Linked DNA regions of Mus musculus. The protein of the gene in region 2 interacts with the protein of the main gene of each other region in a pairwise test. Links are inferred from orthologs where the notes say so. Each region holds a gene or a part of one and is shown on either strand. Other genes may lie near its edges.

Evidence for each region. The genes of interacting proteins can lie anywhere in the genome.
Region 1: the proteins of Zgpat (region 2) and Ldoc1 interact in binary tests that used the Homo sapiens proteins (3 or more experiments, as listed by UniProt). The two-hybrid records come from large-scale screens. The link is inferred for Mus musculus from reciprocal best matches to the Homo sapiens genes ZGPAT and LDOC1.
Region 3: the proteins of Zgpat (region 2) and Dhx15 interact in binary tests that used the Homo sapiens proteins (3 or more experiments, as listed by UniProt). The two-hybrid records come from large-scale screens. The link is inferred for Mus musculus from reciprocal best matches to the Homo sapiens genes ZGPAT and DHX15.
Region 4: the proteins of Zgpat (region 2) and Ccdc33 interact in a two-hybrid assay, tested with the Homo sapiens proteins (2 studies listed by BioGRID). The two-hybrid records come from large-scale screens. The link is inferred for Mus musculus from reciprocal best matches to the Homo sapiens genes ZGPAT and CCDC33.
Region 5: the proteins of Zgpat (region 2) and Ccdc57 interact in binary tests that used the Homo sapiens proteins (3 or more experiments, as listed by UniProt). The two-hybrid records come from large-scale screens. The link is inferred for Mus musculus from reciprocal best matches to the Homo sapiens genes ZGPAT and CCDC57.

Annotation. Positions count from the first base shown.
Region 1 is NC_000086.7:61,708,210-61,711,976, forward strand, and holds Ldoc1 (protein LDOC1), read left to right. Parts: upstream 1-1,401; 5' UTR 1,402-1,500; coding exon 1,501-1,956; 3' UTR 1,957-2,741; downstream 2,742-3,767. UniProt on the Homo sapiens protein: May have an important role in the development and/or progression of some cancers.
Region 2 is NC_000068.7:181,363,616-181,368,546, forward strand, and holds the start of Zgpat (zinc finger CCCH-type with G patch domain-containing protein), read left to right. Parts: upstream 1-1,807; 5' UTR 1,808-2,056; coding exon 2,057-2,637; intron 2,638-4,931. Other genes in the region: Arfrp1 (ADP-ribosylation factor-related protein 1), read right to left, coding at 399-481, 696-783, 990-1,082. UniProt on the Homo sapiens protein: Transcription repressor that specifically binds the 5'-GGAG[GA]A[GA]A-3' consensus sequence. Represses transcription by recruiting the chromatin multiprotein complex NuRD to target promoters.
Region 3 is NC_000071.6:52,187,221-52,192,127, forward strand, and holds the start of Dhx15 (pre-mRNA-splicing factor ATP-dependent RNA helicase DHX15), read right to left. Parts: upstream 3,327-4,907; 5' UTR 3,131-3,326; coding exon 3,060-3,130; intron 1-3,059.
Region 4 is NC_000075.6:58,115,498-58,120,259, reverse strand, and holds the start of Ccdc33 (coiled-coil domain-containing protein 33), read left to right. Parts: upstream 1-1,436; 5' UTR 1,437-1,515; coding exon 1,516-1,825; intron 1,826-2,628; coding exon 2,629-2,957; intron 2,958-3,053; coding exon of another isoform or gene 3,054-3,056; coding exon 3,057-3,173; intron 3,174-4,762.
Region 5 is NC_000077.6:120,929,547-120,934,399, reverse strand, and holds the start of Ccdc57 (coiled-coil domain-containing protein 57), read left to right. Parts: upstream 1-1,527; 5' UTR 1,528-1,684; intron 1,685-4,853. UniProt on the Homo sapiens protein: Pleiotropic regulator of centriole duplication, mitosis, and ciliogenesis. Critical interface between centrosome and microtubule-mediated cellular processes. Centriole duplication protein required for recruitment of CEP63, CEP152, and PLK4 to the centrosome.

The sequences.
Region 1 (3,767 bases), on a different chromosome or scaffold from region 2:
AGAATCAAAGATAGGATGTTTACAAGTGGACACCCTGTATACATTTTATAAATCTTTTTTTGGGGGGAGGACATTCTTTTTTCTTTTTTATTAAATTTATTTATTTTTTTCACTTTACATCTCAATATCAACCCGCTCCTCTCCTCCCAGTGTCCCCTCTCCTAGGTCTTTCCTCCATTCCACCTTCTCTTCTCTTTTGAGAATAAAAATCCTCACAAAATAACATCCTCCTCCACACACACACACCCAACAAGTCAAACCCTCTCCAAATGAGGACAGACAAGCCAAACCATTTAGAGTAACTGGGTCCTCAAGCAGGCAGGCAGCAGACACAGGGACAGCCCTTGCTCCAGTTGTTGGGGAACCTCCAAGAAGACCAAGCTGCACATCTGCTACATGTGTGCAGGAAGGCCTAGGTCCAGCCTGTGCTTTCTCTTTGGTTGGTGTTTGCAAATCTTGTTAACAAAATTGCTTGTCAAAGAGAAGTCTTTTGTTGCATACTATTTATTTATTTAATGAAAGTGAGTCTACCTGTGAGTCTTTTAGACTTGGAACCCAAATGACCTCCTGCACGGTGGCCCACAGAGTCAGCGTTATTTCTCCGAGTGAGATTTAAATGAGCAAGGAAATGTGTTAACCAACCAGACACTCCTCACCCCCAGAGCTTCCAGGGACTAAACCACCGACCAAAGAGTATACATGGAGGGACCCATGGCTCCAGACGCATATGTAGCAGAGGATGGCCTTGTCAGGCATCAAAAGGAGGAGAGACCCTTGGTCCTGTGAAGGCTGGAGACCGCAGTGTAGGGAAATTCGAGGGAGGGGAGATGGGAGTGGGTGGGTGGGTGGAGGAACACCCTCATAGAAGCAGGGGGAGAGGAGGATGGGATAGGGAGTTTTGAGGGGAGGGAGGCGGGAACGGGGATACCATTTGAAATGTAAATAAAGAAATATCCAATAAAAAGTAAAAAAAGAAAAAAAAATGTGTTAAGAAAGGATCACTTTAAAGAAGCTGATGGCCACAGACCCACAAAGGAACACTGAATTAGATGAACAGGCTGCCTGCAGAAAAGTTTCAGCTGGAGCAGGCCAGCCCTGAGGGCTGAGCATCTGTTCTCCACTGTGGCAAGCTTTGCTCCCTCAGCCTTCCTACTTCCAGGTGGAAGAACTGGCGGGACCCCGCAGCGAAGCTCCTGGGTCACGCCCTGCTCCTCCTCAGCCACATCCACTCTGGCCACCAGTCCCACCCTGACCACGCCCCCACGCCATCCCGCACCCTTCCCAGCCACACCTTCCTTACCGCACTGCGCTAGCGCACAGGTTTGTAAAGTGACCCTGTGGGTGGAGTTTCTGCCGCTGGCTGGGACCCCTCCATTTATTGCCCAGGGTCCGCACTCCTCTGAGGACCCGCACTTCCTGCTCAGCCTCTCTGTGCAGCTCCGTGGAGCCGATCCGAGACTGAGACCGAGACCGAGACCGAGACCGTCCAAGCAGTTAACCATGGTGGAAGAGCTGCTGTCGCTTCTGCACGCGCTTCTGGATAGGCACCAAGCCCTGTGCATGGAGAACCACCAGCTCCTGAAGCAGCTGCGACTGTTGGTGTGTGAGCGGGCCAGGCTGCTGCGCCAGGTATGTCCACCGAGCTGTCCGGTGCCCTACCCCTCACGGTTTAGCGGCGAGAGTGGTCGGCTCCCTGAGTTTATCATGCAGACCATGTCTTACATGCTTGCGAATGAGGAGCACTTCTGCAATGATGCCATGAAAGTGGCATTCTTGATCAGCCTCCTCTCCGGGGAAGCTGAGGAGTGGGTGATGCCTTACATCGAGTCAAATAGCTACGTCCTCGGTGATTATCAGGCCTTTGTTGATGAGATGAAGCAGTATTTTGGCTGGGGTACCGACGACGAAGATGATGGTGATGATGATGAAGAGGAAGAAATGGAGGAAGATCACTAGGCCGGAGCCCCCTTAGGCCTAGAGGTGGGGGCCTTCACGCCTTTTCATTCCAACCCCCCACCCGCCATTCCTGCTGCCTCAATCTCTCCCTTTGCATGGCCATCCTCTTCCCCGCCAGTCTGTTTGCTCCATCATTCCCTTCAGGACTTGTCTTTGTTCCAGTTACCTGCTGTGAGTTGGGCCTGGACCTTGCTCTGAAACTCACTTTGGCCTCAGGCACTTATCCTAATCTGAACTCTGTTCGGAGTTCCAGCGATTTTCCAGGTCCCTATTAGAACTGGTCAGACCACCTGCATTCCTGCTGCTGACATCCACTGGAACTCAGGCCAGTCCGCCATCTGCCCAGAAGCAGATTCCTGACATTTCACCTCCACTCACCGAATTTCATCTGAAGCACTTTTCAAGATAAGGACCAAGAAGATGATGGAGTTGCTACTCCACCCATTCAGACTCTGTTTTGGACTACTCACCAAACCTTGAAGGGGCCAGCCAGTCTTTACCGACTGGTTAGTTCTGTACGTACTACCAGGTTCCACATCTGCCTGACCAGAACAGGAACCTGATGTGCCTGCCGGACAGTTAAAATGTTGACATGTCTTTTCTCCTATGCATCAGTTTTGCACAGCACGTTTCCTTTCAGAACTGCAGCAGCCTCACAGATGTGTCCATGTGGACAAGGACTACTAAAATAAAAGCAAACGGACAGGCATTCAGCCCAGATCCTCTCTAGTACTTGAAAAAAGCAATGTAATTCTTTGCAATAAATATCAAGCACTGCAAAACTAGCAGCAAACTGTTGTCTTTTCATGGTTAAGTGCTACCATTGGCTATTGTGACTCACCTCCATTATTTCATTGTGGTTGGGGAACTTGGTTCAATCCCAGTATTCTCACTTTCATTTTTGGGCTCCAGGGGGCCCTGTCATAGGGTTTTAAAAGCTGTGGTGAAGGAGCATTGTCTGGGGCTTCCAAGGTGACATATAAAGGGTGGCTGGGTAGGGGGGCTATCATCTTAAATTAGGTCACTTTGGAGAAATAAAGGGACATTATTAACATTTAGACTGACAGTAGAGGCATATTACTGGGCACAGTGAAGTTTCCTAACATGGCAGAGAAGTTTTATCCATTGTCCTTCTTTCCTGTGGGTGGCAATTAGCAAGATGCTTATGTCTCCTGAGCTAGAACCTGGACTGGAGTTTGTGAGTTGACATCTCTCAGACAGTCCAGAGGGTAGGTACTGAGAATTATCTGCCCAGCTTTGTTTGTGTGTCAGTCCATTATGTTACCCTGCTGAAATGAACTTGGTAAAGGGGTATACACGGTAACCAGGAAATATTGGAAAGATCTAGGGTTTCCTGAATCTGCCTGAATGTCATTTTACTGGTTTAAAAGCGAATTCAGACATAGAACTTTTAATTAATTTAAATAATACATCGTGGTTTAAGAGTTTCAGGCATGACCACACTTATTTATTAAGCTGCTAAACCTCAGGGAGGAATGAAATGGGGGGCGCTGGTCATCATATGAGTAACCTGACAGGTGTGGGCTAGATCCTGTCCACAGGCATTTGGAGCAATGCCAGCTACATTTTTAGCACCCTATAAGCATGGGTAGTTCCTTCCAGGCCATAGCAGCAAAGGCTCAGCTAGCAGCATGCTTGCTTGAGGACTGGCTGTAATAGGAATATGTCAAGGTTACCAGGAACTAAGTAGAGTGGAAATAAAACTGTGACAGGGGCCCATTCTCTTTGGGGCTCTTACAAGATACCAGCAAGACAAGTGTTTTATCTGGTAAATACACAAAGATCAGAGC
Region 2 (4,931 bases):
GTGGTTGCTACACAAGCCTGATAATCCGAGTTTGATCCTTGGAACCCACATTAAGGTGAGAAAAACAGTCTACAAATTAGCCCCGTCGCCCACACGCATGCTGTGACACGCACCCCTCCCCCAATAAAAATAACTTAAAACCCGGCAGTGGTGGCACACGCCTTTAATCCCAGCACTTGGGAGGCAGAGGCAGGCAGATTTCTGAGTTCAAGGCCAGCCTGGTCTACAGAGTGAGTTCCAGGACAGCCAGGGCTACACAGAGAAACCCTGTCTCGAAAAACCAGAAAAACTTAAAAAAAAAAATTAGAAAATCTTTGGGGTAAATGTGGAACTCTCACAGAAAAGACTATGAGGGGCCATCTAGAGAAAAACAGGATCAAACAGGTAATGTGTCTTACCTTGTCCCACAAAGACTGCAGCTCTTCCTGCCCACCTAAGTCCCAAAACATGAGACGAGCCTTTCCCACGTCCACAGTGCCAACTGGAAAGAGTACAGAAAGAGCTAGCTCCTGACCTTTACACACAAGGTTCCAGCTCTCCCCAGGATGGGACAAACCATTCTGGTACCAATCCTAGGGAACTTGAACACAGAATAGAAAGACAGGGTTTTGACCACTGGTCAGCTGGGTTGTGGACCTTACAGCATCCATCTCTAAGGGACCTCCTAAGATCATATCCCTAAGGTGCCCCCTTACTGTTTAGACCCACGGTAGTGGTGATTTTGGATAGACTCATCCCCTTGTAGTTCTTGTTAAAGCGTGTTTTTGACTGTTCCAGGAAAGTCTGAGGAAAAAAAGAGAGGGGGTTAGATAGCAGCAGCTAGAGTAGTTTTCTGGTGTCCTTCCCACCTATCCCTTCACACCCATGCAGCCATGCACGCCTCTGCCTGTGGCTTGATCTTCAGGAGGCTGGTGACTACTAACCTGTAGCCTTGGGGCGGGGGTTAGATCAGGCAGGGAATGGGAACTGGTGAGAGAGCAGGGACCTACCGTCTTCCCAGCATTGTCCAGGCCCAGGATCAGGATGCAGTATTCATCCTTCTGGAACATGTACTTGTACAATCCCGAAAGCAGCGTGTACATCCTGTTCTGGCACCCTGAGAGATGTCAATGTGTGTACCGGGGGCATCGGCCTCCTGCCCTGCCCGCTTCATCAGCGGTCCGCCTCTCCTGCTAGTTTTCAAATGTGTAGCCTCGCGGATCCTGACTCTTCGCCCCCATCCCGCCTCTTCTGTTAAAATCCCTGACCCTGATTCCCCCGATGCCATCGCTGACCACGTGCTAGACCTGGGCCACTCCCACTTAATGTCATCTTTCATAATGCACCATCAATTCGGAGTCCTGAAAAGCCCGTGGCGGCCTGCTCTGCTCCGCCTTCCTAAGGCTCCTCTTTCCGAACCCTCAACTCAGAACCAGGAAACGCGGCCGGCGACTTAAGTCTAGGAAGCGACCAGAGAGGCAGAGCTCCTGAGGAGGGTCGGCTTCGGCTTCCCGCCGCCGCCGGGCCCACGGAGCCTGGGAACCAGCAGCTGAAGCCACTTCCGTCCCCCTGTTCCAGGACTTTAGAACCCCGGCCCCTCAGTCCAGCTGAGGCCCACCCGTACCTGCTCAGATCTTGGAGGAGGAGCCGCCGCCGCCGCCGCCGCCGCCGCCGCGTTCCTAACCCCACCGACCTCACGCTGACCCCTCACAGTGCCTGACGGAACAAGGAGCGAAGGACGGAGCACGGGCGGAATCGCATCCCAGCGGCCCCCGCGCGCAGGTACTTCCGGCAGCTTCGGCTCTCCGGCGGAAGTGCCCGGCGGAGGGCAGAAGGCTAGCGCGTGAGCTTGGCTGGCGAGGGCGGAAGCCCTTCTAGCCTGCGAGCGCCGGCCGGAGGTGGGGTTGCGGGCCGCAGAGGACGGGGCGGGTGACGTGCAGGTCCCCCTCGGCGGAACCGCGGCCCTCCTCAGGCTCCCTAGCGGTTTTGGGGGCGGCGTTGCCCTGAGTTGTTCTTACTGCTCTTCCTCCTGTTTTTGTCTGCGGTAAAGGTTCCGAATCCTGCCTGCTGGGTCGGGATGGACGAGGACAACCTAGAGACTGCCCTGCAGACCTACCGGGCCCAGCTGCAGCAGGTAGAGCTGGCGCTCGGTGCTGGCCTAGACGCTTCTGAGCAGGCGGACCTGCGTCAGCTGCAGGGCGATCTAAAGGAGCTGATTGAGCTCACCGAGGCCAGCCTGTTGTCGGTCAGAAAGAGCAAGCTGCTGTCTACAGTGGACCAGGAGAGCCCAGCTCAAGAGGATGCTGAGTACCTGGCTTTCCAGAAGGCCATTGCGGAGGAAGTGGAAGCGCCCGGCGCCCCCTGCAATGACTCGGAGACGGCCCCTGGGAGCGAGGTGCAGCCGGGATCCACCTCCTCTGCACTGGAGGAGGAGGAGGAGGACCCAGATCTGGAGGAACTGAGCGGTGCTAAAGTGAATGCCCCCTACTACAGCGCTTGGGGCACGCTGGAGTATCACAACGCTATGGTAGTGGGCGCCGAAGAGGCGGAGGATGGTTCTGCGTGCGTCCGAGTCCTCTACCTATACCCTACCCACAAGTCCCTGAAGCCCTGTCCGTTCTTCCTGGAGGGAAAGTGCCGGTTCAAGGAGAACTGCAGGTAAAACCCTCTGCTGCTAGCAATGAAGGGCACGCAGTCGGGACCACCGCTGTGGCCTGTCGCCACAACTAGTTTGGCACCCAGCAGAGTTGGTAATAGAGTCCAAACCTTAGGTGACTGACAGGCTTTTACAGAAGTGTTCTCCGTGTGTTTACTTAGATTTTTCTTGCATACATCAAGAAGTTTGAAAGAGCTTATGTTGAAAAGATAGGGCAATCCTTCATCAATATTCTTCTCCAAGGTGTAAAACTTTTTTTTTCCCCTTTGAGATAGCAGTGTAGTAACTCTCGATGTCCTTGAATTCTTGATCCGTCAGCAACTCTACTACATCCTGAACGCCTTCAGTTTCCAAATGCTAGGATTACAGGTGGAGGCCACCACTTCTACTGGGCTACATCTCCAGCTCGGAACCTTTTTTCTTTTTTTCTCTTTTTAAAAATTTATTGACTATGCTGAGGATGGAATTAGGGCCTCCAGCACACCAGGCAACCAACTACTGTACACCTTAGCCCCATCCCAGCTCCTGTAGTTTGCATAGTCTTACAGAAAATTTCAAACACATAATCTCTTGCTGACTTGCCCTACCTTCCCCCCCACCCCCCGTGCTACTTGAAAGCACCTTTCACAAGTTACATCTTTTTCTCTCACCCTCAAATACTTCAGAATGTAGCTGAAATAATAATTACTAAAACTGATTTATGTCTTTTTTTTTTTTTAACTCAGTCATCCAGAATAACCCTCTAGTACTTTGAATTTATTTATTTTAGGCCACTAAAATAAAAAGATTTGTTCTATTATAATGGTAGTAGTGAACTAAAATTAGTTTCACTTGGCAGGATTTTAGGCAGGGCTAGAGCCTTGGAAGTCTGAGGGCAGAATCCAGAACCCATTTCTTTGTCCATTTTTCTTTAAGGTTGTTATTATTATTTTATTTTGATTTTTAAAAAAATATATTTTAAAGATTTATTTATTTTGCTGGGCATTGGTGGCGCACACCTTTGATCCCAGCACTTGGGAGGCAGAGGCAAGCAGATTTCTGAGTTCGAGGACAGCCTGGTCTACAGAGTGAGTTCCAGGACAGCCAGGGCTACACAGAAAAACCCTGTCTGGAAAAACCAAAAAAAAAAAAAAAATTATTTATGTATGTGAGCACACTGTTGCTCTCTTCAGACACATGAGAGGAGGGCATCAGCTCTCATTGCAGATGGTTGTGAGCCACCATGTGGTTGCTGGGAATTGAACTCAATACCTCTGGAAGAGCAGTCAGTGCTCTTAACCACTGAGCCATCCCTCCAGCCCCTTATTTTGACTTATTTATTTTTTACTTTTTTAATGTTTTTCTCTAAAGATCCATCGGTTGCTTTTGTCTCATTTTGTTTTGGTAAGGTGGTTTGATACATGGTCTCTATGTAATCCTGGCTGTCCTGGACTACATACAGCTATGAAAGGCCTTGGCTGGCCTTGAACTCACTACCGAAAGGCTGGGATTAAAAGTTTGCACCATGGCCTGACTATTTTAGGCTTTTTTGAGACAGAGTTTCTCTAGTAGTCCTGGTGGATTTCCTGGAACTTACTATATAGATCTGGCTAGCCTGGAACTCAGAGGCATGCACTACCATTTCTGGCTAAGATATATTTTTAGTTAGTGTGTTTGTGTGTGTGTGTGTGTGTACGTGTGTACGTGTGTACGTGTGTACAGGTGCCAGAAGAGGGTATAGGATCTCCTAGAGCTGGCGTTCCAGGTGGTGGTGGTGACCTGCCGAACATAGATCCTGGAAAACAAACTCAGGACTTCTACAAGAGCAGTATCCTCTCAGCCACTGAGCCATTTCTCTAGCTCTATGTATTTACATTTATCTTTAGATTGCGGTGGGGGTGGGGCATGTGTACAGGTAGGTGCCCAAGAAAGCTAGAAGAAGGTGTTGGATCTCCTAAAGCTGGAATTGCTCACAGAAAACATTAACCACTGAGCTCTCTCTCCAGTCCCCAGAGACCACCCATATTCCCTGTTTTGTGGCATCCTCGAATCACTTTAGGCTCTTCTTTCCATGTTACATCTGTACTCTGCAAGTCTTATTTCTCTACTTTTTCTTTAGGATAAGGTCTCATGCAGCTCAGGCTGGCCATGTATAGCCCTTCCTATATAGCCAAGGATGACTTTGAACTCTTAATCTTCTTGACTTCACTTCCTGCTTATACCTCTCAAGGGCCAGGATTACAAGCAAGTGCACATCTTTTGTTGTATTTCATGGTGGACTTGACATGTCCTTGTTCTGGCTCTTTCCTATGCTAGC
Region 3 (4,907 bases), on a different chromosome or scaffold from region 2:
CCATGGCCTCTCCACATTGTATACATTATAGACATGACCATATACACATTTTCTTGTTTAAATGGAAACTTTAACTATAAAAGTTTTGTTCATAAAAATTTTCAAGTTGAAGCAATGCTTTTAACTTTAAAGAAACTAAAAACAATCTCAGTGTGATGGTTACATGCCTTTACTCCCAGCACTCAGGAGGCAGAGGCAGGCTGATCTCTTGCTTATGCTGGAGGCCAGCCTGGTTTACATAGTGAGTTTCTAATAGCCAGGGCTACGCAGTAGTAGAGAGATGCTGTCTCTTTTTAGGAAGTAAGGAAGGAAGGAAGGAAGGAAGGAAGGAAGGAAGGAAGGAAAAGTGCTTTAAACAGCACTTTAGTCAACACTGACAATTATTAAGAACAATGTTTTCTTGCTCACATGCAAGCTGTGGCTTTTAAGATGGAACTAAAAACATTTAATAAGATAATACATGTAATAATGCCTGGAATATCTGAAATGTACCAACAAACACTGGTTACTACTGATGTTTCAGTTTAAATTGTACTTGGAATAATAATAGGCACTAATATACTGCTAGTAAGTATGGAAACTAGTCATCTACTCTAGATATTTTATATAAACTACTTTTTTTCTGACAGTCTCACTTTGGGAACTTCTAAGCATGTGCATTAACGTGCATACATAAGGATACTCATACTTTCATCTACAGAAAATTCGAGGAAAGCACTTAACACCAATGAGCAAGACAAGAGACAACTACTGTACTACACAGCCAATGGGACCCAAATCCCAAGAGCTCACTGATATTACATTTTGTATTTAGGAATAAGTATGGACTCCAAAGATGGAAATAATGATTTGTAGTAGCTTACTGCTTTTTTCTTTATACATTTATGTGTGAAAATTTCTTGCCCTTTGCATCTTATCATCTTATTATTTAATTTCAGCTACCACGGGATTGTAGTGAAACACATAATTACAAATTCTTATCAGGAATATTAAGAACCATTAGGATAAAAATGTCCTTCCCAGATTTCTTGGGAGCTGGTGAGATGGCTCAGACTGAAAAACTGGGTTGACCCCTGAGGCCATCATGGTCAAGAGGAGGTAACTGACTCCGTGGTTTCTTCTCCTGGCCGCCCCTCCACCCCCACCCCCACCCACACGTGCTGGAATGGAGACAGCAAGGTCTGGTGACAGCTGGGGTGACAAAATGAACAAGCCTATGCTGTCAAATACACTAAACAAGAGCAAAGAGGGGGAGGGAGGGAAGCAAAGAGTCCCTGGCAGTCAAAAGTGCCTTCAAATCAAGTAAGGAAAAAAAAAAAAATACCAAGCACAAATACTGTATTGCTAAAGAAAACCAGTTCTATAAGAAAAGGTACTCAAAAAACTTAGGAAACTGCAAAAACTGCCTTGCAGAATCTCTAGAAATCAAGGACTCTCCTGTACTTAGTGACAAATATGAAATATTCAGAGGAAACATGAAGCTACCCGCGATATACGCAAAGTCCATTTTGCCAATGTTGTATGTTTTGCAAGAGAAATGACCATAATCACTGTAATGTGGAGCCCCAATTGCAATAAAAGCATTGAGTCGTGAACATACACACAAAAAAACTCTGCTTGCACAAACTCAGTGTTCATCCCAATGTGACCTCTATAAGGAGAGAAATTAGTTGCATCTTAGCCAAATGTGACATTAACTTTAACTTCACAGAAGTTCCCCACTTTATCAATCCAATATAAATGCCATTTATGACAGGTTGTGATGCCTAACTACAGTACTAAGTTTCCTGTTGAGAAAAGGAGAATTCTACATACCACTATAATCTATGGAAAAAGCTCACTGCAACTTTGCTCTCCCTTGGAGAATATTCATGAGCTGTTTCTACCTAAGAACTGATGGAGCTCAATTACTAACATTTGGAATGTTTGCTTGAGAGAACAGCTGTCTTGGGATGTTTTATTATTACAATGCTTAGTGTTATAAGCTTTAAAAAAAAAAACCTACACAATCAAAACATAACAAACCTGCTTTCCGTATTCAATATTTCAACCTAAGGAGAGCGACAGAACGCATCCTATCCTGACCTATTCTCACACTGGTAGTTAGAAATCAATCCCAAAGGACTTTCCGTTAACAAAAACTCAAGAGACCACACATCTGACTTGACAGCGAGTCGGTGTCACAAGACATAAGAAAATGATAAAATCCTACAACTGTTTTGGACATTTGGACTTCCGTGGATATATTTTTTAATTAACCCAACAGATCCCTGTACTGCCGAAGCATAAACATACAACTAATTAAAATGGGAGGGTAGGAATATAAACAAAAGTACATTTTAAGTATGAACTGTGAAAGAAAAGACTGGAAAATGATAATACAACTGCTTACTTGCTAAATGCCCTGTCTTTGCGAAAAGTCTAAGAAAAGGAACTAAAATGCCAGACCAGGAATCGGTGTAAGCCTTTCTCAATCTGCACGTGGGTGTTGTTTGTTCAAACACGCTTAAGATCACTTTTTTGAAAAGTGCGTCCAAAGTGGGGAGGAGATAGAAATAACTTCCAGAGCGGAGGGGGAAATACGTGTTTTCACAGGCCTACCCCAGTGATGCTACTTAAAAGCAAAGCCGGCTTTTAAGCAAAGCAGGAAATAAAGGAGATGGCGGGAGGGCAGGCAGAGGGCGGAAGTTGGCAACGGCCTCTCCTGAAGTGCCTCAATGGAAGAAGGCCCTTCGTCTCCCGCCAAACAGTGCGCCCCGAGGTCGGCTCGCCTCTATCCTCCCCCAAAACAGACAGCGCCCGCCGCCGCCCACGGGGGCAGTGCCCTTGGCCATCCGGTTCCGGCTGCGGGCCTCACGCGAGCACCGAGGCCTCGCGGCCCGCTCCGCACGCCCGCCGTTCCGCGGCCTCGTGGCCGCCACAGGCCGCTCGCCCCGGCCGCACACACTCGGCACGCGCCCCAGCCGGCCGACGGCAGACAAAGGCTCGGCAGCCGGGCCTGCTCCCCGCCACCATCCAACAAAGCCCGAGCCGCGACTGCGCGCCCCGGCCTGGCTTACCCATCGGTCCCCGCACGCTTCTTGCCGGAGGGGTAATCCTCCCCCAGGTCCAACCGATGCCTCTTGGACATCCTCGCACTCCCAGAAGCGGACGCTTAGGAAGGAGGGAAGAAGAGAGACTCCGGCAGCCGGATCCACGCACAAGAGGCCCGCGGCTCAACTCGCGGGGACCCCCACCCCTCCCGCCACCACAGCCCGCTCCGTGCGGCCCGAACCAGGAGCTAAAATGGCGGCCGCGACGAGGGCAGGGCCTGCGTGCGCGCCTCCGCGGCGGGCGTGCCGGCGTGGTGCGCGCGCACGCCGTCCGGAGGCGGGAACTCCCGTCCCGCCCGCTGTGCGATTGGCTGAAATGGCTCTGAGTTCCCGCGGGCTCCTCCCTTTCCCCTCGCGTCTCTCTGAGAGCTGATCTGAGCTGCTGCTAAGGACCGAAACGCGCCTCAAGCTGTCACTTGCCGCCTGGAGTTCGTTGGGAAAGTTGAAAAAGCCTAGTCCTGTTTAGGAAATCTATCCAGCTGTGTATATACTTTTTGCTTTTAGGGTATGAAGCTCAGGAAGGATAAGAAAAACAAGATCACACAGCTGGCAAGTGGCAAAGCAGGACACAATTTATAACTCCAGAACGAGAATTTGCAGTTGTTGCGCCAGATGCCCTGTAGCGGTGAGAAAAAATGTTAACTTTAATTACTGTGACTCGTTTTGTCCATTCACCCCAGAACAGATAACATCTATTTGTTCAAGGTATAGGTGTTTTGTATAGGGTTCAGAAAATTGGAGGTAATCGCACTGGGCACTGTATTTTGCCTCCAATCCTCTGCCCTAATCTTGCTCCGTTTGTGTGTATATGAGTGCATATTAGGCACTCAGAGACATTAGCCCTATCTCTGTCCTCGTTTGGTTTGGTTTGGTTTGGTTTTTTGAGACAGGGTTTCTCTGTGTGGCTCTGGCTGTCCACAAACAAGCTCTGTAGAAGAGGCTAGCCTGGAATTCAGAGGTTAGGCTGTCTCTGCCTCCCAGTGCTGGGACTAAAGGCGTGCCCCAGCATGCCTAGTTGCTGTGCTCCTTAGTAGAGTGAACCCTGAAAGACATTTTATAGACATGGTTACCTGGACTGAAGGAAATCAACAAATAGCTCATCCATTAAGACTCCACTGTAATGGCAAGTTGTTGAGGCAAGGTGACACTTAAGAGGTTGTGTATCTTTCTCCCTTCAGCCATTGTGCATACTCAATTACATTCATTTCCAGAAGTGTGGGCGAAAGAGGTCTAAGGATCAGCCCAAATACAGGGTATCACTTCATGTCAAGACTCTCCTTTGCTGCTCCTTGGCTCTAGTCCCTCGAAAATTCTCAGAAGGATAATCTCTAAGATTAAATACAACAGAAACACAACAGATGATATTGTAACTTTCACAATATCCAACACAACTGTCTAAATGTACATTGACAACCTGTTAGGCTAGATATGGTAGTGAGTACCTTTAATCCCAGCACTCCTGAGGGCAGAGCCAAGCAGATTTCTATGAGTTCAGAGTCAGTTTGTTTTACGTAGTGAGTTCCAGGACAGCCAGAACTATATAGTGACTCTCTCTGTCTTTCTCCCTCCCTCACTCCTTCCCTCTCCCCCCTCCTCCCCCCCCCCCCACATGCACTCGAGCGCACACACACACACACACACACACACACACGAGCCACTGAAAAGTCCTGTGAGCATCTTTCAGGTACCTACATTACTGAAGAATTCCACCCCTGTCAGTTGTATTCCTTGTTATAGTTCCTAGACAGGAGGGTCCTCTTGAAGTTCTTGTGCAGAGTCTTGAGCCTTGTAAACCCCCATGATCATCCTCTTCCC
Region 4 (4,762 bases), on a different chromosome or scaffold from region 2:
ATACAAACATATACATATATACATGTGTGTATACACACACACACACACACACACACACACACATATATATATATATAAAAGAGACTTGCTCAAGTTCTGCTTGTAATGCCATCTCTAGTAGCTAGATAATATATAAACAGCAGTGGGAAAATAAAATTTGTTCATTCTTAAAGGGAACCCAGAGTCTTGTGTCTCTTTCTACCATTATTCTTCTTTCCTGTACTTCCCAAGACTGTGCTGGACACAGTAGGTAGTGATGGTGGCGGCGTGGTGGTGATAGTAGTGGCAGCAGACTTAGTCTCTTTTGAATAGTGTCTAGGATCCTCTGATTTCCATTGAAACCCAGGACAAAGAAGCACAGACTCTAGACTGACAACCTAGCTTTGAGAGGCCAAGTTCTCTGTAAAGCTGTATGTCTTGTATAAGGTAAGCTGGTTGCAGAAGCAGACATGGACCATATATTCCCTTACCCTGGAGACCTCTCCCATATCCATACTAAGGACTCCCAGGTAGAGACAGGTTCCCCAGAAATGGAGAGTTCTGAATACCACATACTCATGTGCCCCCAATTTTCTATAGAATGTATGAAGTAGATCATCTCTTAGCACACTTGAGAATTTGGTTGTGTGTGTATGTGTTTGTGTGTGTGTGTGCATGCATGCATACATGCTGTGTGTATGGTTTAAGGATTTATATATGTTATGAGTACAAATGTGTGTACAAGTACACATGTGTATGTGTTTGTATCTGTGTGTATGTTTGTGTGTACAGGTACACATGTGTGCATGCTTGTGTGTGTGTGTTTGTGTGTACAGGTACACCTGTGTGCATGTTTATGTATGTGTGTTTGTGTGCACACATACACATGTGTGTGTTTGTATGTACAGGTACATGTGTGTGTGTGTGCATGTAGATACCAGAGGTCAACCTCAGATGTTATTCCTCAGGACTCTTACTTTTTTTAAGACAGGAACTTACTGATTCTCCTAGATGGACTTCCTGCCTGGGCCTTCCCAGGACTAAAATGATAAGCATAGCATACACAACCATTCCTAGTTTCCATGGGTCCTGGGAATCAAACTCAGGTTCTCATGCTTGTGCATCAAGTACATTACTGACCGAGTCCCAGCCCTGATCATTCATTTTCCATATTTCTTGTTTATCTTTGTCTTCTCTACCCATTACCTTCACTAGAAGACAGGCTTCAGGAGGGCAGGAATGTGTCTATTTCACTGCTATATTCAAAATGCCCAAGACAGCACCTCATATACAGTAGGTTCTCAATAAATATTTACTGAGAGATCAAATGCTAAATGGGAAGAATTAATTGATGCCTTTGTTCCCCAGTTCAGGCTCAGTTTCCTGGCTTGTTGCCTGGATCCTTCTCAAACAAACAGAGAAGGGTGAGGTGTGGCCCCAAGTGCCTAATCTGTCTTCTTTCCGACTGGACCCAGGATGGGACTGTGAGCAGGAGAGGGCAGGGCTCAGCCTGGAGTTCTGACCCTGGCTGAAGCCATGGCCTTTAGAGGTCCTGATCCCTACCTCCCTGCATCCCTGCTGAGCCAGCGACTGAAGGCTGGAGAGAAGACACTGGACCTGGAGTTTGAGATCTTGAGTGTGGGATTTAATGAGGAGGGCCGGTACGCCCTGAGGCTGTCAGCTGAAAACCCACTGCAGGCAGGCTCCAGTGCTGGGGTGCAGTTGCAAGTCAATGATGGGGACCCCCTTCCAGCCTGCTCAGCTGTCACTGAGGTCATTGAGCAGCAGGATCCTGGCCAGAGCCTCACCTTCACCAGGAACAAATTTATCTTCACTCTGCCCAAAGGTACAAAGTGAAGTCAAGGGTTGGGGGGGAAGCAGGATCTTTGGGACTTCTGCCCTAGAGCTGATCAGGACCCTGGGGGACTGCAAGGGACCTGGACAGCCAGAGGCAGAGCTCCAGCCTTAATTCTAAGCTCTGCCTGTGTGACTATGTGGCCTTGGGCAAACGCTGGTCCTGTAAGGTTCCTGCTTCCTTCAGCGTGGCATGGATGCTGAAACTGTTCTCATAGAGGGCAAAGGTGAAGAGGAACTAAAGGGGGATGTGAATTTGATAGAGACAAAGCCCACAGCATGTTTAGACCTAGGCAGTGAACGGTACATGGATGAAGTGATGCTAGAAGCCCCCTGAGTTCCTTCTGATTGTAGGGATAGAGACTGGACAGACATGAATGGATAGAAGATCCTGGTCTTACTTTCTGGGAGCTTCCAGACTGGGTACAAAGAGGCAGGAATTTTAAGTCAAAACTAGCTAAGTAATCTAGAAGATCCAGGCTTAGACAGAGGACTTACCAGACAACAGTCCTGGTGTATATCCCAGGCTAAGGTTAGCCAAACTCTTCCCTGGTGTCAGAACCCAGAACAATTCCATGGGCTATAGGCCTCCTCACTCTGGTGGGGTCACATGAGGCATAGGTAAACCAAAGGAGTCTTGAGTGAGGGCTGAGAGGAGTCAGCCACAAGGGAATTCTTAGCCGAGCTCACTTGGATTCAGTTCAAGTTGCCCCAGGGCCCTGGATGTCCTTCTCACCCCTTGGAGAAGGGAGGGAGATCCTAAAGACCACATTTAAAGCCATGTTCTCCACCCAGGGTTCTGTAAGAATGATGGGCAGAGTGATGCACATCTGCGTGTGGAGGCTCTGAGGCTGGATGGATCCTCAGGACAGGAGGCTCAGAGGGTAGGTGAGGCCATCTTCCCCATTTACCCACGACCAGATGAGCCCCGAATGAACCTCACAGCACAGGATCATGAAGACCTGTACCGCTATTGTGGCAACCTGGCTCTTCTCCGAGCCAGCGAGGACCCCACAGCCCGCCACTGTGGGGGCCTGGCTTACAGTGTGGCCTTCCATGTGCACAGGGACCCTAGGTCCTCTGTCTCAGACTGTCAACTGGAACCCAGCCAACCAGAGCTACAGGTAGGTGCTCCTGGGTCCCAGTTCAGGACACAGCCTTTGATGAAACTGGCTGTCTGCAGCCCTACAGTCCCCAACCTCAATCTCCTACGTTCTCAGCAGACTTCGAGGGAGGCCCTGAGTGACAAGATAGAAGAATCTTATATGAGCCCATTCAGCACTGACAGTGACCAGGAGGGGCTCAGCTGGGAAGCAGGACCCTGGCAGCATCCGGCTCAGGTGAGGGGCACCAGCCCTTCTGTGGGAGGGTTCCCTACTACGTTCTCTCTCATTTAGGCATCACATCCAATTGAGAACTCACAGAGCAAGCAGTAGTTCATTGCACAGATGGAGAAAACACACCTCAGGATTCTAGGTTCCACGAAATGTCAACAGTTACTGGAAACCTCAGGACATACATAGTAGCGTGTGGTACCCAATGCCAGGACAGCCACTAAGTATGGAATGTCACTAGAGCCAATACATTTGGATAAAATATTGGTATTACACACAGTCCTTGACACTGTCATGAAGGCTCTGAAAGGGGTCAGGGTGTAAGCCCAGGACAGGCTTTCTCAGAAGATGTGTCATTTTGAAAGGGCTCTTTGCTTCCTTCCTCACTCATTTACGGGCTCCTCCATCCTGTATTTGTCTTTCAGACTAGGTGAGTGAGGTTTACGGGTAGCAATTTGGAGAAGGTTCCATGGGTGAGGTCTAGTATAAGCTAGCAAAGAGAAGAAGGTGGCTCAGTCAGCGGGCAGCAGAGGGACGAGTTGAGATGGAGCTCAGAGCTTGCTCTCTCTCCCTCCCCCCTCTCCCTCTGCCTTCTCTCTCCCTCCACCCCCCTCTCCCTCTCTCTCTAGCTCCTCCCCGCCCACACACTTTTCTTGCCTGGCACTGAGTAGAGGCAGGGAGGGAAACTGAGTTAGGTCATGGAGAGGTTCAATAGGGAAAGAAGTGGGAGGAGCTGAAGCTATCCTGGCACCGAGCAGAGGGAGGTATTCAATTCTGGAGGCAAAAGGTGAGGTGTGGGAGGGGCCTGTAAGGACAGGATTGTATGCAAAGTAAGCAGGCAGCATGTGACAGGGACCCAGAAGCAATGCTCTCATCCAGGCCTCTAACATGGCCCACTCTGACCTTTGTCCATTCATTTCTCAATCAATGAACACACCTTTCTGACCTACTCCTGTGCTCAGCCCCAATCCGTTCTGGAGGCTAAGTGTATGGACGAGATGGACAGTCTAGGTGAGGCTGAAACTCCCTGTGCTCCTAGCCTGGGCCCAGCTCCTCTGTCTAATGCTATCATCTAGGGACAGACACTCTGGAGGAGGTCAAGAACTCAGGAACTGTCCCTGCTCTTTGGGTCTCCCTGGCCTGGCCAGCCTGAGGCACATGGATGTGGATGGTGTACTCAGGCTACAGTGTAAAATGGGTGAAAGGAGGTTGGGAACTGCTGCGGGGAGGAGGGCTGGCGCGATGGCTGCAGTCGACCTCAGCAGCTCTAATTTCTGTTATTTAAAGCTATCATCTCTGCGCCATACTCCCTCTTAAAGTGTCAGATGTCTGCTTCTACCGAGACAAGAAAATAGCTTTCAGGGGAGAGGAAAATCACACCCCTTAGGGGGGATGGGAGGGGTCAGCAATCACAGCCCTGATGGCAGTGCCAGAGCCACAGACAATGGAGGCTTCCCTGTGAACAAGGGAAGGGTGCTTGTAGTTAGACAGACTCAGCCCAGCAGCTCAGGCTAAGGAGAGCAAGCTCCTGTCCCTATAGATACCTGGGGGCGGTGGCAGGACACAAAGGGCTAGTGGGGCTCTATTGCTCTTTG
Region 5 (4,853 bases), on a different chromosome or scaffold from region 2:
GAGAAGTGGGAGTGGATGTTGGTCGTGGTGTGTGTGTTGCAGTTTTGTTAGTCGTTATGCTCAAAGTAGAAACAAGGAAAGAAATTAGATTCAGGAATCTCTATCCCACTCTCTCCCCCCATCCTTCTTTCTCTCCTATCTGGTGATGGTGGGGTGAAACAGGGGTGGGAAAAAGAACCACAAAGTAGCAAAGACCAACTACAGGAAGCTCCTGTGACAGAGTGAGGCAGAGACAAGGGGTGTGAACATACTTGTGGAATGGGGCTGACCCTTGGACCCCTCAATTAAGGCAAGGGTTTTACATTTGACAGCAAAGAACTGGCAGTTGAGGTTACCTCACTTTCTAATAGAACAGAAGGCCCCTAGAAGTTCAGGGGACTCCCTGGCTGAGAAGAAGGCTACAAAGACAAGCTGGTTGGGGGAAGGTTCAAACACCAAGCATTTGCTGTCAGGAAGTGGGGACAGCAAGTTGAGGGAAAGAGACTGACGGGTAGAGGAAGACGGCAGGATATAGGACAGGAAAGTAGGAATGACTAGACTTCTTGATACTGCCCTCCTGGAGGAGGGGATTCCCAGACACTCCCCATCCCCTAGGAATTATGCTGGTTTAGGTGTGTATGCCAGTTCCAGGACCAGGCCACAGTTTAACTTCTTCAGTATAAAGAGATAAGAATACCATTCTTTTTATTATTTGTGACTGTGTGAACGTGCAGACCATAACATATGGGGGATAGGGAAGACTCATGGGAATTGGTTCTCTCCTTCCATTCTGTGGGTCCCAGAGTGTGAATCAGGTCATCAGACTGACACATCCACAGAGCCATCTCCCTGGCCCTCAGATGACCTAAGGATTTAAAGAAAGACAAAGGCGAGCCTACAACGAATTCCTGGGGCTCATGCAGGCCCTTCCCAGCAACCAGCCCCATTCCATCCAACTCTTCTTAGTCCAGGACACGCTCCATGAAAGCTGGGGTCTTGGAGGATCATTCACCTTTTGATGCTTGGGGTTTCAGACCAAATCGTGGATGGACTTCTTGTGACTGCGCCTTACCCAGGGCTCTGAAAGAGGATCAACTTCTTCACTTAGCCCTCTCCGCCTGGCGACATGCCCTAGGTGCAACCTCCACCCACTCTTGCCATGTGCACCCTTGTTACAGTCTCATGTGCAGTCTACAAAGGGAAAACCTGAGTCCCAGAATAACTTCCCACCCACGACTTGCAGGTTCCATCCCTGAGCTCCCAGTCCCTCCGCCTACAGGCACCTCCTGCTAAGCTGAAGTTAGCCCTTTGGGACTCCAGAATGGGCACCTTGGGGACCCTCAGGACAGCTGGGGGAGGGCACAGGGCCCCGTAGGTGTAGGTCCTTGCTCACTGGCTCGCACTACTCAGGGAGTCTGCTAGGCCACGGAACCCCAAGCGTCTCTTCCTTCGGTACCAGCGCACAGGTCGGAACTCTTTTGTGTTGAGACTCCTGTTTCTGCCCGGCGGGATCGGAGCGCCGCTCAGGGTGCACCGGGACCAAGGTTACTGACTCCAGTCGCTATGGTAACGTGGCCCGCGCTGTAGGTTCGGGCGGGAGAGTGCTGGCGCTCGGAATCCTGGAGACCCGGGTCCCAGCTGGCGCAGCTCTAGGTCGCACGCGGGAGACGAAGCTAATTCCGCTGGGACCGTCCTGGCACACGCGGTGAGTGGACGGTCATCGCATCAGGTTCTTGCTCCCCTGTAGCTTTCTTTGACTCAGACTCCCAAACGCCTACCTCGTGATTAGCCACACGCGCTTCACAGCGCTTCAGTCCCTCACTGACTTCATTAGTCCATTATCTTGTAGACTACTTGTCATCCTGGCTTGGCCCGATATTTTACACAATTAAGTTACACATTTTAAACAAGAAAATGGCGCGCTCGTGCCTCCCAGAAGGCAAACGCCCCATTACTGGGGAATACTTTCGTCGCCAAGGTTTGAGTGGTTTAAGTGGTGGCTGCCAAGGGGCTAACATAAAGTTATTATTTTCTACTCGGCATGGTGGCACATGCTTTAAAATCCCAGGATTTGGGGGCAGAGGCAGGCGGATTTCTGTTATTTCGAGGCCGGCCTGGTCTGCATAGTTCCAGGACAGCCAGAGCTATGTAGAGACTCTGTCTTAAAATCTAAATAAATAACAAGGTTTCTGTTTTCTTTCCTTTTTTTTTTAAGATTTATTTATTTATTATATGTAAGTACACTGCAGCTGTCTTCAGACACATTAGAAGAGGGCATCAGATCCTACTACAGATGGTTGTGAGCCACTATGTGGTTGCTGGGATTTGAACTCAGGACCTTTAGAAGAGCAGTCGGGTGCTCTTACCCACTGAGCCATCTCACCAGCCCCCAGGTTTCTATTTTCTTATTGTAAATAATAAACACCATTTGGGGAGGTGCTTGACTGTGTAAAAGTCTTGCTTTTAACCATATTTTCAGCTACTAATTTTAGCATACGTCAGTGAAAGCTTCCTGATTTTTTTTTTTCTTTTGATTTCATGTTTTATTCTTGCTATGTTGGGTGCAGAAAAAGAATCACAAGTTAACTGAATCAAAGGCCATTCAGACCATTCGGACTGAAGTGGGATCCAGTTTCCAGCAGTCTTTATTTAGAATCGGCATCAGTGTAGGTTTCAATCACTGCTCTGGCAGCTGGGGCCCAGGGAGAGCTGCAGGAAACAAGAACAGGCTGTATTCTCCAGGGCTCCTGCCTGGGTACAGGTCGGTCCTCCCTGGGAATAGCAGGTGGAGGATAACAGCGACTCCAAGGGATGGGCTAGTCATGAAGAGATGGAGATCATTGATGTCCCCACAGGGAGGACCTCAGAGGTCACTGCCCTTCCACCTGTATCCTGGAATCTTTTATGAAACTGCTCCATGAGAACCAGGCAGGAATTTCATTGGCTTCAGGAATAGTCCAGTATAAGCCCACTGTCTTAGTCACTGTTCTGTTGCTATGAAGAGACGCCATGACCAAAGCAACTCTTATAAAAGAAAGCATTTAACTAGGGGCTGGTGTACAGCTTCAGAGGCTTAGTCCATTATCATCATGGCAGCAAGCATGGTACTTGGTAGCTGACAGCTACACCCTAATCTAGAGACAGGACAGACTGAGACAGCCTGGCGTGGGCTTCTGAAACCTCAAAGCCCACCCTAGTGACACACACTTCCTCCTATAAGGCCACACCTCCTAATCCTTCTAATCTTTACAAACAGTTCCACTCCCTGGTGACTAAGCATTCAAATACATAAGCCTATGGGAACCATTCTTTTTTTGTTTGTTTTTGTTTTTCGAGACAGGGTTTCTCTGTATAGCCCTGGCTGTCCTGGAACTCACTCTGTAGACCAGGCTGGCCTCGAACTCAGAAATCCACCTGCCTCTGCCTCCCGAGTGCTGGGATTAAAGGCATGTGCCACCAAGCCCGGCTTCTTGTCTCTTCTTAAGCACCCACATAATTCCAGTAATTTCACTCTGAAGAACCACCATGTCTATTCTGACTCCTGGATTTTCTTTTTACTGGAGCCACAAGGTCTCATTTGAAGCTGGCAGAGAATCAGCACTTACACTGCCTGATGTGGAGTCAGATAGCCGTGCTTAAGTGTGGTGACCTCTTTCTGTCTCTGGCAGCTTCAGTCCTGAAGGAATTCTATATGTGATATCTGTCAAATATTTTTCTATTTCCGTTACTCCTACATTGATTAGCTGGCACTTTGTTGTAAAACAGAGTCTTTCCTTATAATTTTTTCCATTAGTTAATTTAGTCACATCTTGGTTGCTGCCCCTCTCCCTCCGTCCACTCTCCCCTGTTAAGGCCTGGGTGACTGTTGCCTATCCAGCCAGCCATTTTGTGCTGTTATTAATGTTATAGGGAAACTTTGTCCTGCTCTAGTTGATCTCATATTCTGCTATGTTCTACGCTTTGGTGTTCTGGGAAACCGGCAGAGGTCGGTTAGAACTGCTTTGTATAAGCTTGCACCCGAACTGCCAGCAGCTCTTCCTGAATCTATATATGAACTTTTATGGTTTCTTGTCTTTGTAAGTTGCCCTGGGATAGACCCCAACGTAAGAAAGACAACTGCACCAATATAATAAGCCATTTGGATTAAAACTTTCATTTTGAGTGGGAGTTGAATAAAGTTTAAGTTCCTCCCTGGGAACCGACATCCTGCTTGGCAGAAACAGACATGTACGTGGGTAACTGACTTCCTGCTTGGTAAGTTAAGACATGGATATTAGGCAAGTCAAGTTGCCCAGCCACAGTTGACTGACTACCCCAACCAATGGGAGCAGGATAAGGATACAAAAAAGACATGTTCCTAAGGAAATCCCCTATTCCTAAATCCCGATTGGTGGAATAACTTGGCACAGATATTTGTGGATTTCAAGGCTTAAAGGCTCTGTAAAATCCTAGCTCCAGGTCTCAACTAGCTCCTGTGTTAGTCACATCATGATTGATCAGGCCTGGGGTGAATGCTCAATAAACTATCCCTGCCTGACTGAGATCGGTGTTTGTGTGGTTTGTGAGGTGACTCCTGGACCCCAGCACTCCCCTCACAACACTCTGGAAGGCAGAGGTAGAGGCAGAAGAGCTCTGTAAGTTCCAGGCCAGTATGGTCTGCATAGAGTTTGTCTCAGAAAGAAAGAAAGAAAGAAAGAAAGAAAGAAAGAAAGAAAGAAAGAAGGGAGGGAGGGAGGGAGGGAGGGAGGGAGGGAGGGAGGGAGGGAGAGAGAGAGAGAGAGAGAGAGAGGTGTGAAAGAAAGGGAAGGAAGGAAGAAGGAAGGAAGCAGAAGACTGAATAGTCTTTAAGCCAGCCGTCCTGTGTCTGTTACCAG